2 linked regions of the Bombyx mori genome follow. The protein of the gene in region 2 purifies or fractionates together with the protein of the main gene of each other region. This does not show direct contact. Links are inferred from orthologs where the notes say so. Each region holds a gene or a part of one and is shown on either strand. Other genes may lie near its edges.

Region 1 (6,527 bases), on a different chromosome or scaffold from region 2:
TTTTGATCTTCTTCTTTGTCAGTAATGAATAAGGATGTGTTGAGAATTGTTTTCAATAGAACATAATGAAAATGTTGCAGTCCGCTGGGCTGAATTAAGAAAACTATGAGCATGTTTCAAGGTCAAATCGGTTTACTCTTAATTCATTCATAAATACTGAGGCTCATAGAAATTTGTAACCTTTCACATATTAATTTTATAAAATTTAATGATATGTTGTGTACCTCTGCAAATAGATTTATTTTATCATTAACATAGTAGTATTGTCATTTTTAATACTATTTCGAGTATTCTTAACTTGGACATTGTATGTACACACGAAAAAAGAAACTTGGGGTCAAAATTCGGCCTAACAATTTTATGGTGCCGATAGCATAACCGCGTCTTTGAATAATAATTAAACAGGAGCAAAGGTTAAGCAAAAGAATACACTAGAATTGTTTGAATAAACATGCATTTTACGTCAAAGCGTACTTTTAAGACACATTTCATTGATAAGATAATATGCAGACTCTAGCGATAACGAAACTGAGATGAAATAAACCACTTATCCCACACTAAAATACGATTTTAATATTTTTTTAGTTTTTTTTTAATTTTAATTTTTTTATTAATAGTGTTCAGTTACATACCAGCCATAGTTGATAGCCGAAAAGTCACGTCGCCAATAACACTAGAGATTGATTATGGTTCAGTTTATGTTAATCGAGTATTTAATGAGATTAGGTTTTGTATCAATTCACGTCACAGTATTCAACCACGAGTTTTTATGGTCTGACACTGACTGACTTGACGGCTATGAGTTGCGGTGACGTAGCCCCCCTCCCGACACCACTTCAAGTATCGCCTCTCTTAGTAGGCGCTGTAATTCCGTTCCCGCCATAACGATCTTGACAAGTTCATACTTTGGACCACACAAAAATCAAGTAATAAAGGGCGACCCTCAACAGAGGAATGAAGGAATGACGTTCCGTCCTCATGGAATGTCAAAGTGTGACCCACTGCGTTCTGGCACGGTTGTTTCTACCCCATGCTCTGCATTAATCATGAGCAAAATTATGTACTTATAATAGCCGGCAAACTTCTTGAGCATTTGTTGACGTAGTGGGGGTAAGTTTGCGCATGGTACACTCACGTGCAAAAACATTATTTACTCTGCGTCATAATGCAATTAAATTATTAAAATCAACATATGTATTTATTTATATATTTATTAGAACATTAACAAAAAATATAGGTTAATAATTGTAATAATTTAATCTTGGGGTAAAATAGATATTCCTTCTATTAAGTCAAAACTAGAGCTGTTGCCAGGTCTTCGTTCAGTTGAAGCGAAGCTGGTATTTGTAATTTTTTTTTCGTTATCATAATCTTGACCATTATCATCATCACTGTTTTCATCACCCGAGTCGCCATCATCGTGATAAGTCGACATAGGGCTCATCGGTGTAGTTTACGACTCGGTCGGTTCGATCTTCTTTTTTGTCTATAATTAATTATTTTTTGAAGATATTCGATTCGTAGTAATCGAATGTTACTTTTTTCAGTTACCAGCTTCCGATTATTTTCTGTTTTTTTTTTCCATCTGAAGCCTAGCTCTTTCATAATTCGTCGTAAACTTCATACCGAGCCATTAAAATGTATATCTTCTTTAAAATTTTCGAAGCCTTTCTACGGTACGGAGTTTCGCTGCTTGTTATGTAGTTATTATGATTACATCTTTTTATTACAGATTGAACGAAACTATCCATTCCGGTAACTTTCTTCTTCCCTGATCTTTTCTTACCCGGAGTCCCAAGCACGATGAGCAAGCCAGAGCCTTTAGCTTCGTTAATAATGCACCTAACAGTACTCACTGATGTTTTTGTTGCTTCCGAAGTCTGTTTTACTTTTTCCATAATATCATTCTTCCCCTGTTTTATAATGAAGCAATATACGTCGTACACAATTTTTCTACCCTTTCTTTTGAATACTACACCAGTTTGTCGCGGCATAGTGTATTTTTTATAAAAAATCAACAAACACTCAACAAATAGCAATGGCAACAAAGTCAACAAGCAATTATAACAAAATATAACTTAACGATTAATAACGATATACTTTTCACTGTACGCAAGCGTACTTTTGGGAGCAAGCGGAACGAAGGCGCGGTGCGGGACGCAAGGTTCGACTGATCTACCAATAACGCGCTCGATACGATTTCCCCTGCCGTCGCGCCTCACCCTCACCACCAAAGTGATCTAAAATTCGGTTCTGCGCAGTCAAGGTCATTTGCTCACGATGTTTGCCGGTTACTATACCAAGAAGAAAAGAGATATATATATATTTTGGATATAAAGATAATTATCATCCTTTTATATATTTAACTCTTTATATTTTAATGAATTAATAATGAAAATTGCCGACAAGATGAGTTAAGTAATATTAATTCTGTAAAATATAAATAGCGGTCTGATTTCCTTTCATACTTAACAGGCTTAGGCCTGTCAACTTAGTTGCAAAAGTTTAAATACCTACATAATTTAATAAAAATTATATTTATATTAAATATTCGATCAAATCAAACAACCAAGCGATCAATCGAATAAGTCGAATTATTCGAATGAACGAAGTGATGGTTAGTTCATCGAGCTCATCACTGTTTCATTAAAATGTCAATGTCTATGTCTTTGTCAAATGAAATTGACATGTTCGGAAACCACAGACAATATCAAAATAATTGAAAAAAAATCCGTTGGAGTACATAATTGCGTTTTTGCGTTATATTTATTTTCTATTTATTATATTTATTACATAAACTGTAAAATGGCCACTTTCGATTTAAATTCATTAAACACAGTGCTTGATGAGCCCGCACAGCCGGAAACCGGTGTCGATTTTTCTGGAAAATCTCTAAAATTGGATACCGCGAAAGATGGTGGGTCTATTAACTAGAGCGAAGGCCGTGTAATTCTTAACACGCATAGCTAATCAAATATTACATAAAACATACTAGTTGTTTATTTGAAATTCACTAGACGCGCATGTAAAAAAATCGTCTACAACATAACCTAAAAAAGTGAAATAAAAATAAACAAAACAAAATTTGACGCGATCTCGTGTTTGTTCAATTTGCTTGGAAATAAAGTATATTTTCTATATTAATCAGATTTGGACTTGAAATCATAGCCATAGTACCAAATTTGATACTGAATGAATGAATGTGTTACCTACATCAAGCTTAAATTGTTTCAGCACAACAAATTGTAGACGCGATCAATAAATGCCCGAACCTCCAATATCTTGCGTTGACCGGCAATACACTGGGTGTGACGGCCGCCCATGCGATCTCCAAGGCCTTAGAATCACACCCTGAACTCAAGATAGCCAGATTCTCGGACATGTTTACTGGGAGAATGAAAACTGAGATCCCGCCAGCTTTGGTAAGGCTTTTTCCCAAAATCTAAAATGAAGAGGACTTTTTATTGCTTTTGTAGTCAGACGCTTATACAGCTTAGCTAATGATAAGGGCTATCTTTGATAATGAATATGAGTAATGTCACATGCACAGCCGAGCAGCTGACTAGAAACAATTGAATTTATTAAATGTCAAGAAATTTAATTTCAAATTAAAGTTTTTGTAGTCTAAAGGACATTTGTATAGAGCGAATCCTGAAGATAGGTATTCATTTACCACATTTAGGCTGGTGACAATATCTAGGGGGTATCACTTATTATTAAGATTATTTCATTTACAGAGTGCTTTAGGTGATGGCATGATAGCAGCTGGAGCTCGTTTAGCTGTGCTGGACCTGAGTGATAATGCATTCGGCCCAATAGGAGTTGAAGGTCTTGCTAAGCTGCTGCAAAGTGATGTCTGCTCTGACCTAGAGGTAATTTGTTTAATAGCTCTTGATAATGAATTTACAGTCATATGGTACAGGACCGTGTGGGAGGTCACCAATGCCATGGGCCGACCAAATTAAAACTTCATTGGGAAGAAGAAGAATGAATCTACAATTAATGCCAGACATATAACCCATTGAGTTTCTTGCCGGATCTTAGTGGATTAAAATCCTGAGCTGCTGATAGAGTCAACAAAGCAATGCTCTTGTTAGAGCAAATGTTAGCAAAGTCTCTCAAGCTGAGCTCCATTAGCTTGCCCGATCACAGTGAAACTTTATTACGCATTTAAGGCTTCTGGCGATTATGTAGGGACACAAAGAATCAAATCTTTATCACTGGATAGGTGGATGTACATATTCGGCATGCCTGGCATTAAGTGGTTATTGTTTGTGTAGACTGACTGATGCCATACTCAAGACATGTATATCTATGTAATATGATAAAAAAATTGCATCTTTCTCTACGTAAATCAATTTTTTGTCTTATCATCAAATTGTTCTCAAAAATCTTTATAATAAAATTCCCTTTTTTTGTTTCATTCCCACTGCTATAATTTCTAGCACTGATCAGATGTATTTATTAAAATCACTTTATAAAGCTTACAAAATACGTTTCCAGGAGCTTCGTCTGAACAACAACGGCCTTGGCATAACCGGTGGTAAGTTGTTGGCACGCGCACTCTCCAGTAGGAAGCGGAGACTACGGGTCTTCATAGCCGGGAGGAATCGTTTGGAGAATGACGGTGCCACCGCGCTGGCCAAAGTTTTTCAGGTGTGTTCATTTCTATCAAGCTATCTCGACCCCAGGCTCCAAGTCTAAAGTATTTCCATTACTGAATAAAGAATATGAACCTGAGAAAAAAAACGTCAGCCATAGAAACATTGATTGAAATGAAAAATATTATAACTTACTAGCTGACCCGGCAGACTTCGTAGTGCCTCAATCGATAAATAAAATACCTAAACTTTTCTATAAAATAAACTTAAAACAAACAAAAGAAATCTATCCGACGAGTGACACATCAAAGTAAAAACAAAATTGTAATTTTTATTTCATTCCGAGCATTTTCATATTTATCTACCTTTTAAACCTTCTCTGGACTTGCACAAATAATTCAAGACCAAAATTAGCCAAATCGGTCCAGCCGTTCTCGAGTTTTAGCGAGACTAACAAATAGCAATTCATTTTTATATAAATAGATAGATTAGTTTTCTTTTCAATGGGTCAGTACCAGACAAATACATAACAAAAAGCAGCTGATTTGCTAAAGCGGTTGATAATTTCCTTACAAAGGTGATAAAAATATACCTGATTAGATCTGGGCATCTCTCAGGTGTTCATTTGTTTATGCAATATAAATAAAATATTGTACACTTGTTCACAGGAAATGGGTTCCTTAGAAGAGATAGCTATGCCACAGAACGGTATATACCATGTCGGTATAACGGCTCTATCGGAAGCATTCAAACACAACCCGGCACTGAACCATCTTAATTTAAATGACAATACTATCGGGGCTAAAGGTGCTGAAGCCATTGCCGGTGCCCTGCCAAGGTAAAGTAAGCACTGAGTGAATTATCAACTTCTATGTCATTATTGTCTTATTATTTTATTTAGCGAACTAGCGGCCCGCTCCGGCTCCGCTCAGGTCTTTAACAAAAATGTCAACAATATTTAACAAATATTTGACATTGTTTTATTTTTTTAAATAAAAGAACACTTATTGCTGTAGTATTCCAGATGGTCTGTATGTATACTACTGTTAAAATTACGGCACAATCGTATTTATAGTGAAAACCACAACTATAACTATAACTATAACTTGTATATATGCGCTTTATCTTGAAAATGTCGTAAGCGAGATTCAGGCATCTGTCAATTATCTTGCGTTGTATGATGGCTACCCGCCACATTGCGGCTTAACTATAATAGTTAGACATATGCTGTTGGGACACTTTTTGTGAATAATAATGTGTTCTACAAAGTCGTAGGACATTATTTTATTCTATCATCAATGGTTTTCGCAGGGCACGCGATGTAAAGAATATTTTAGGTAATTTTTTTACACCTTGGGTTACATTATTGGAGTTTTAGTAAGGATTCCTATTTTTTTTTCAAAAAGATTATAGCCTATGTCACTCGGTAATAGTGTAGCTTCCAAACAGTGAAAGAATTTTTGAAATCGGTTCAGTAGTTTCGGAGCCTATTCAATACAAACAAATAAACAAACAAACAAACAAACAAATCTTTCCTCTTTATAATATTATTATAATAGTATAGATTACAAACTTAAGCCTATGTGTTCGGTAACATGTCAATTACACAATAAGTCTGTTTAACCATTGACGTTCCAATACTATAAAAATGCAATTTTCTACAAACTGTTGAGTTGAATTTAAGTTTGGAATTGTCATGTTTATTAACGGTCCACTTCAGATCATCAAGCTCTGTAAATAGACAGTCCGAATGTTATTTTAAAACTTATATGTAAGATTGGTTTTTCTATGCACCCAGAGTCACCGCTACAGACCATTTTCTTATTCCATTACAGCATTAAAAGTTGTTTGTTACAGATTAAAGAATCTTAAAAGTATTAACTTTGGTGATTGCCTCCTGAAGAGCAGAGGAGCAAGAGCTTTGGC
Region 2 (6,425 bases):
CTCACTACCACAAATTATACTCACAATATGATTAGAAACCGCTGTCAACTATTCCGAAACAATTAATTACTGAAGAGCGAAACGCACGGAAAACGACATAACGCGCGACGCGGTTCCCCACTCCTCGACTCGAACGAGACTGGTACAATACGAGCCACGAATTACGAATTGAAATAGGGAACAAAATAATAACAAATATGCATGGGCTGTTCGATATAATAGGTGCACGTGGGTTGTGTCATTCCCAAAAAATCAGCAACATTTGGAAAAATACAATATAAGCTTAAACGTTTCAGACACTGCGACGAAATTTCTCAGAATAAAGTCAGTTGCGAGGCATCAAGCAAATACAAAATTTAATGTAATACGAACTACACAGTTGCACACTCCCGTAACGATATGGATTCATTAAATAGTTTCATTTTATAAGTATTAGCACTACCAACCAAACTATATTTGTAAACAAAACATATCCCGTAATACATACAGAAAACAATTTTTAAACAGTGAACGCGATCGCGTTGATCAAGCGCGACAAATAGGACAAAACATGGCAGACTTGAAAAGCACTTCTGTTGTCTGTGGTCAATTTCTTTTTAAAAGCGACTTTATACGTTTCGTTTCTTTTATCGAATAGACTTAAAACCATTATTTGCGGTATTTAGGTTTTTAGTAAAATGTTTCATTTTCATTTCTAAGATTATGATTTTTTAAGCATGTTCAATAAAATAAACACAAAAAGATTTAATCATTAAACATTATAATTTTTTCCAAAAAAATGCCATAGACAAAATAATGCTACCAATTAATAAATATTGCCGAGATCCTCCCAATTTTTTTATAATGGAAATATGTTTTTAATCTTTAACCAAATAATCCTCCCTCCTCCTCCCTTTTTTTTATTGCCCTTATAGGCAGACGAGCATACGGCCCACCTGATGGTGAGTGGTTACCGTCGCCCATGGATTTTACCAATGCCAGAAGCAGAGCCAAGCCGCTGCCTACCGCTTAATACTCTCCACAACTTCTGATTGAACTGAAAAATTCACTAGTCTTCTAATCTTGCAATGTGATAGCACTCTTGCAATAAATTTAATTAATAATTTTTAATATAATTCATGTTTGGTATAGGTCTACCAGGATCTGATGGCAAAAAGGGAACAAATCAACGATCAAGGATAATTTTTGAAGATCTTACTGTGGCGAATGTGGGGTTCGAAATTTAGATGAAAACTCCAATTACTCTTCATGAATTTATAAATTAATTATAGGCTATCAGAACTAGTGGTCGTCGTGGCCTAACGGATAAGACGTCCGGTGCATTCGTGTTGAAGCGATGCACCGGTGTTCGAATCCCGCAGGCGGGTACCAATTTTTCAAATGAAATACGTACTCAACAAATGTTCACGATTGACTTCCACGGTGAAGGAATAACATCGTGTAATAAAAATCAAACCCGCAAAATTATAATTTGCGTAATTACTGGTGGTAGGACCTCTTGTGAGTCCGCGCGGGTAGGTACCACCACCCCGCCTATTTTCCGCCGTGAAGCAGTAATGCGTTTCGGTTCGAAGGGTGGGGTAGCCGTTGTAACTATACTGAGACCTTAGAACTTATATCTCGAGGTGGGTGGCGCATTTACGTTGTAGATGTCTATGGGCTCCAGTAACCACTTAACACCAGGTGGGCTGTGAGCTCGTCCACCCATCTAAGCAATAAAAAAAAAATAAAAAAAAAAAAAACTTAAAAATGGTTCCAAATACTGCACATCCATAAAAAAGTCTTTATCAGAAGAGGAAGATAAGGAAGGCGCAGTATTTTTACCACCTTTCCTCTTTTTGCCCTGCGTACTAAATACATCTCTGTTAGATCTGCCTTCAGCAACAATTCGTCTTATGGTAGTATTTATTTATTTATTTATTTATGTGCGTTCCCCTGACGAGTCATTGTCAGGGACATTTTTTATGCTTATTTGCTTTTTTGATAAATTTTATTTTTCACCATTTGTAATGTTAGGTTCGTATTTCGTTCTTTTATAATTTTCGTTTCTCTGCTTATTACTATAACCTGGAAAAACCAAAATCCGGTCGTCCAAGATTTTCGAGAACACTCGAAAACGTAGACAGTGTTGCCCAGTCTATTCGGGACGATCTGAACCTTTCAATTGAGAAGCGTGCGGTGGCCTTAAACGTGCACAGATCGTCGTGATGCCCTATTTTGCATAAAGATTTAAAACTGCACCCGTACAAATTCAGTTGGTGCAAGAATTAAAACTTCAGGATACTGGTCAGAGGTCAATTTTTTCCTGGCAAATTGATCTCCAGGAGAGGTGACATAAGTTGGCCTCCACGCAGTCCCGATTTGACATCTATGGACTTTTTCCTGTGGGGTTATATCAAATCCAAAGTTTACACCAACAAATCGACTTTCACACACAATTAAAAGAAAATATCTATCACGAAAGCCATCACGGAGAACACCTGCCGAGCCGTCATAGGCAATTTTAGTGCTCGATTAAACGAATGCCCTGAACGCAACGGTTTACATTTCGACGATGTCATTTTTAAAAAATAAATTCCAAAACAGTGTATTTTAATATGTAATAAACATTTTTTCAATAAACTCCTTACTTTTTTTAAAATTATATTTTTAAATATGACATTTCCTTTGAGACCCTTCCTTCGTTTTTTTTATTATTCATAAACTATTTTCAATAATTAAAACAGCGAAACATAAAAATCTTTTACTTGACGCTGGCTAATGCACAAACCGTACGGAGCCAAAAATAAAGACGAAGTGTAATCCATAGGTTATACAGGTGTATAATCTACAAATGTCGCCATCCATTTTGTTTCACATTGAAAAAGAACAGGTTTAAGATTCACAAGAGAGACGCTATTTAGTTTTTGGTGATTAATTTTGGAAATATTTGGATTGCTAATAACGTCCAAATATATAATTTAACTAACCATACTTAAAATTTATTGAGTGTAGGGTAATTTTACACCATCAAAGTTGTTTAACTCTTTTGTAATTTGCGTTGTTAATTAAAAAAAGCTATTATTCAATTATCATTGGCTTTATCTCAGTTAACTATTCTACACGCATGTGAGAAAATAAGGAAACCTTAAAGAACTACTTTCACGGTATTTGTATACTGGTGATTAAAGCTTCTTCGACACGATGCCAAAACGTGGCGGTGGAAGGAATAGAAATTGGAAGGCTGATACTGACCATTTTGGTAAGTGGAACACTTTTATTTATATTCTGTTGTGATTTTGTAGTTCCTACAGTGAATTATCAAAAAATAATGTATTCCATTGTTGTTAGCGCTACTTATGTTTAATACATAAAGGCAAAATCATGCATCATAAAGTTCATGATACCAATGAATAATATATGAGTTTTTAAAGTTATTGACTATTAATACTTGATTTACAAATGATATACTTTCAGAACACGATGACCGTGTCAATAGTGTGCCGAGACATGTCAGTTTTAAACCTGGAGCTAAAGGAAAAAATAAATTTCGAACTTGGAAAAATCCTTTAGCCCTCCTTGATGATGATATTGACATGGGTAGTTCTGCTCTTCAAGGACCGGTCCGGAAAAGTTCTTTCAGGGGACGTGGGAGAATGTACTCTCCAGCTCCGCAAGGAAGCCACGGACACACTAAAAAGAAATTTATTCCTGGTGTACTGCCTTGGTACCAAATAATCATTCCATATGGAGCAAAACATGAAAAAGATGTTATCCTCCGAGCCTTGTTGGGTTTTCTTTCACCCGACATATTCATTCCACATTACTATAAAGTCAATGGAAATGCTGCAGTATTCTATGTTGATGATGTCAAAACAGCTGAAAAACTTTATAATGCTGATAGAAAGATCACTATGTCAGATGGTTTTAAGTTAATTGTTATTGTGAGGAATGCTGTTCCAAACATGGCCATTGACGCTGCCATGAAAGAGAAGATGAAATTGACAATGGCGAAGAGGTATAATGCTACAACTAAGGCATTAGATTTAACAAAATTCCATGCTGATCCAGGTGATTGTCCAATTATATTGTTATTGCTTTACATATTCATTATTTACAATACATTCATTGCAATGTCTAAAATTCAACTTGTTAGTAAACAGCTTAGTAATACATATTATAATTTCTTTTTCATTCAATTAGAGATATAATAAGCTAGACTTTTGGGAATAATTTCTTATGGGCCCACATAAGCTATAATCTATTTAAGAGCGCATACTGGTTTGCCCTTTTATAATGCAGCAATGTAACAACAATATTTATAACCAGTTATTTTATAGAATGTAAAGACAATAGTTTTACTGGGTGAATATTGAAATAATACTATTTTTCAGATCTAGAAGATATATTTTGTGCACTGTTCCGTCCAATGATAATGTTGGCTGCTATAGATATAATAGCAGAGAATATTCCAGACATAGAAGCTTTGAACCTAAATGATAATAAGCTTCATGGTTTGCAGCATCTCAAGGTTTTGTCTTCAAAGCTCAAGAATTTGAAAATATTGTATATGGGCGATAATAGGGTAAGACAAATACATTTACGACAATTTAGACCAGTGTAAAATTTCAAATGACTGATTCATATTCATATCATCATCTTCAGTGCACATTCCTATCTAGGCATAGTTTGAATAGCCCCACAAGCTAACAGTAATTAGGTAGGATACAAAATCCCTATCTACATTTGACAAATAAATTTGTGGTTTTTTTTTTCTTTATTATATACCCCAACTAACAATCTTTGCAATTAATTTGTTTTCACATGCACTATATCTGATTGTTAAGGTAGACATTTTTCTCAATTTTGTGTAGTGTAAGTATTTTTCTACTAACTCATCATTTGCATTACATTAGTAAAATATAAAATAAATGTAGTAAACGAAAGACATCTTTAAAAATATATGAATGCTATTAAAAAACCAATAATGTACATTAATTATCATTTAAACCTTTTCCAGATTCCATTCCTTGGATCACTGGACCCAATCAGATCATTACCGCTAGTTGAGCTATACCTCAAAGGAAACCCACTGGTGAACAGGTTTCATGATCACGAAATCTACATAAGGTAACGCTAATGTTGTAGACAGTATCTTTGGGGTCACACCCCAAGATATTTTGAATATCCTATAACACAGTTTACCATTAGCGTTAAGCCATGGAAACTTGACAGCTATATAAAATCAAACTGTGGCAGTACTGTTGCTGAATTGTGCTTGTTTAAGTAGATGAAATGAGTAAAGATGTTTTTTATCATAAGTTAAATTTGTGATAACATATATTATATTCCTATACTGTTTATAACAAAATCAGTAAAATATCCCTTAATAAAATATACTTATAGTTGACTAATCTTTTTAAAAGACATAATTTTACATAGCAAAAAATTGGCAGGATAATTCCATAAAATTTCTTGGGAAATGTCCCAACAGACAATGAGCCTTCTTATTTCCATATTCCCCTGACTCACATATTTATCAGAGTATTAAAATAATTGATACAAAATAGTAACATTTAAAAATATTTACCTAGGAATAGGTCACTCACAGCATTATATGTAAAAATGGCCCAACTGTTTAGTAATCTTGGAAGAGTTTTAGTGCAGTGGTATGAGACATAATATCAAATATGTGGAATAATTTAAAATCAGACTCATCCCCATTGTACATTGCTGTTATGAAATTATATTAAAATTATTAGTACTTGGGCTTCACTAAGGAAATTGGGTATTCTATTGCTCATTATTGTTACTTTACTATTTTAATTTTATTTGAGGTTACCCTGCATCCTGTGTACTATCACTCCGTATAACCTTTTTGTCAAAATAATTCTCAATATTAGAGGCATAAATAACATCTGATATCCATCATTACTAACTTGAGCATCGCAAATAGATGGAAAGGTTTTTTTAAATAATTCATCTAAAAATAGTTCCAAAGAATCATTTTTGACAGAAATATATTATTATATTAATATGTATATATTTTTTAAATAGTATATATTACCTCTTTACCTCCAATATTGAGGTTTAAATTTGAATTATATAATTTTAAGCAATAATTCAAATAAAAATAATTATCTATTTAGTTTTTATTAAATAATGCACACAAACACAACATTGAAGCACATTTGTTTACAACACTTTATAAAAGTAAAAGTATGTAAACAGTGTTTAAATAATACTTGCTACAAAAACTGTTTACTACTATTTAGAGTTTATCTGTGTGACATGTATTTTCATTAAATAAAAATCAAAGAGTAAAAAAACTAAGCAATTATTTTTCCCTAATTATACATTTGATATTTTTGAACAAGTTTTTCACTTAATGTTATGATGTCTCACAATAGAAATTTCAATATCTAAATAATTATTGTTAACAAATC

What was found. Proteins that work in one complex are often made in the same cells at the same time.
Region 1: the proteins of nuclear RNA export factor 1 (region 2) and ran GTPase-activating protein 1 purify together in Homo sapiens (co-immunoprecipitation; 3 studies listed by BioGRID and IntAct, with this or other methods). This does not show direct contact. The link is inferred for Bombyx mori from reciprocal best matches to the Homo sapiens genes NXF1 and RANGAP1.

What each region holds. Positions count from the first base shown.
Region 1 is NC_085117.1:345,753-352,279, reverse strand, and holds the start of ran GTPase-activating protein 1, read left to right. Parts: upstream 1-2,664; 5' UTR 2,665-2,676; coding exon 2,677-2,917; intron 2,918-3,234; coding exon 3,235-3,422; intron 3,423-3,737; coding exon 3,738-3,872; intron 3,873-4,503; coding exon 4,504-4,656; intron 4,657-5,269; coding exon 5,270-5,439; intron 5,440-6,458; coding exon 6,459-6,527. Other genes in the region: cytoplasmic aconitate hydratase, read right to left, coding at 475-487. UniProt on the Homo sapiens protein: GTPase activator for RAN. Converts cytoplasmic GTP-bound RAN to GDP-bound RAN, which is essential for RAN-mediated nuclear import and export. Mediates dissociation of cargo from nuclear export complexes containing XPO1, RAN and RANBP2 after nuclear export.
Region 2 is NC_085124.1:4,528,374-4,534,798, forward strand, and holds the start of nuclear RNA export factor 1, read left to right. Parts: upstream 1-2,798; 5' UTR 2,799-3,183; coding exon 3,184-3,241; intron 3,242-3,456; coding exon 3,457-4,050; intron 4,051-4,373; coding exon 4,374-4,564; intron 4,565-4,999; coding exon 5,000-5,109; intron 5,110-6,425.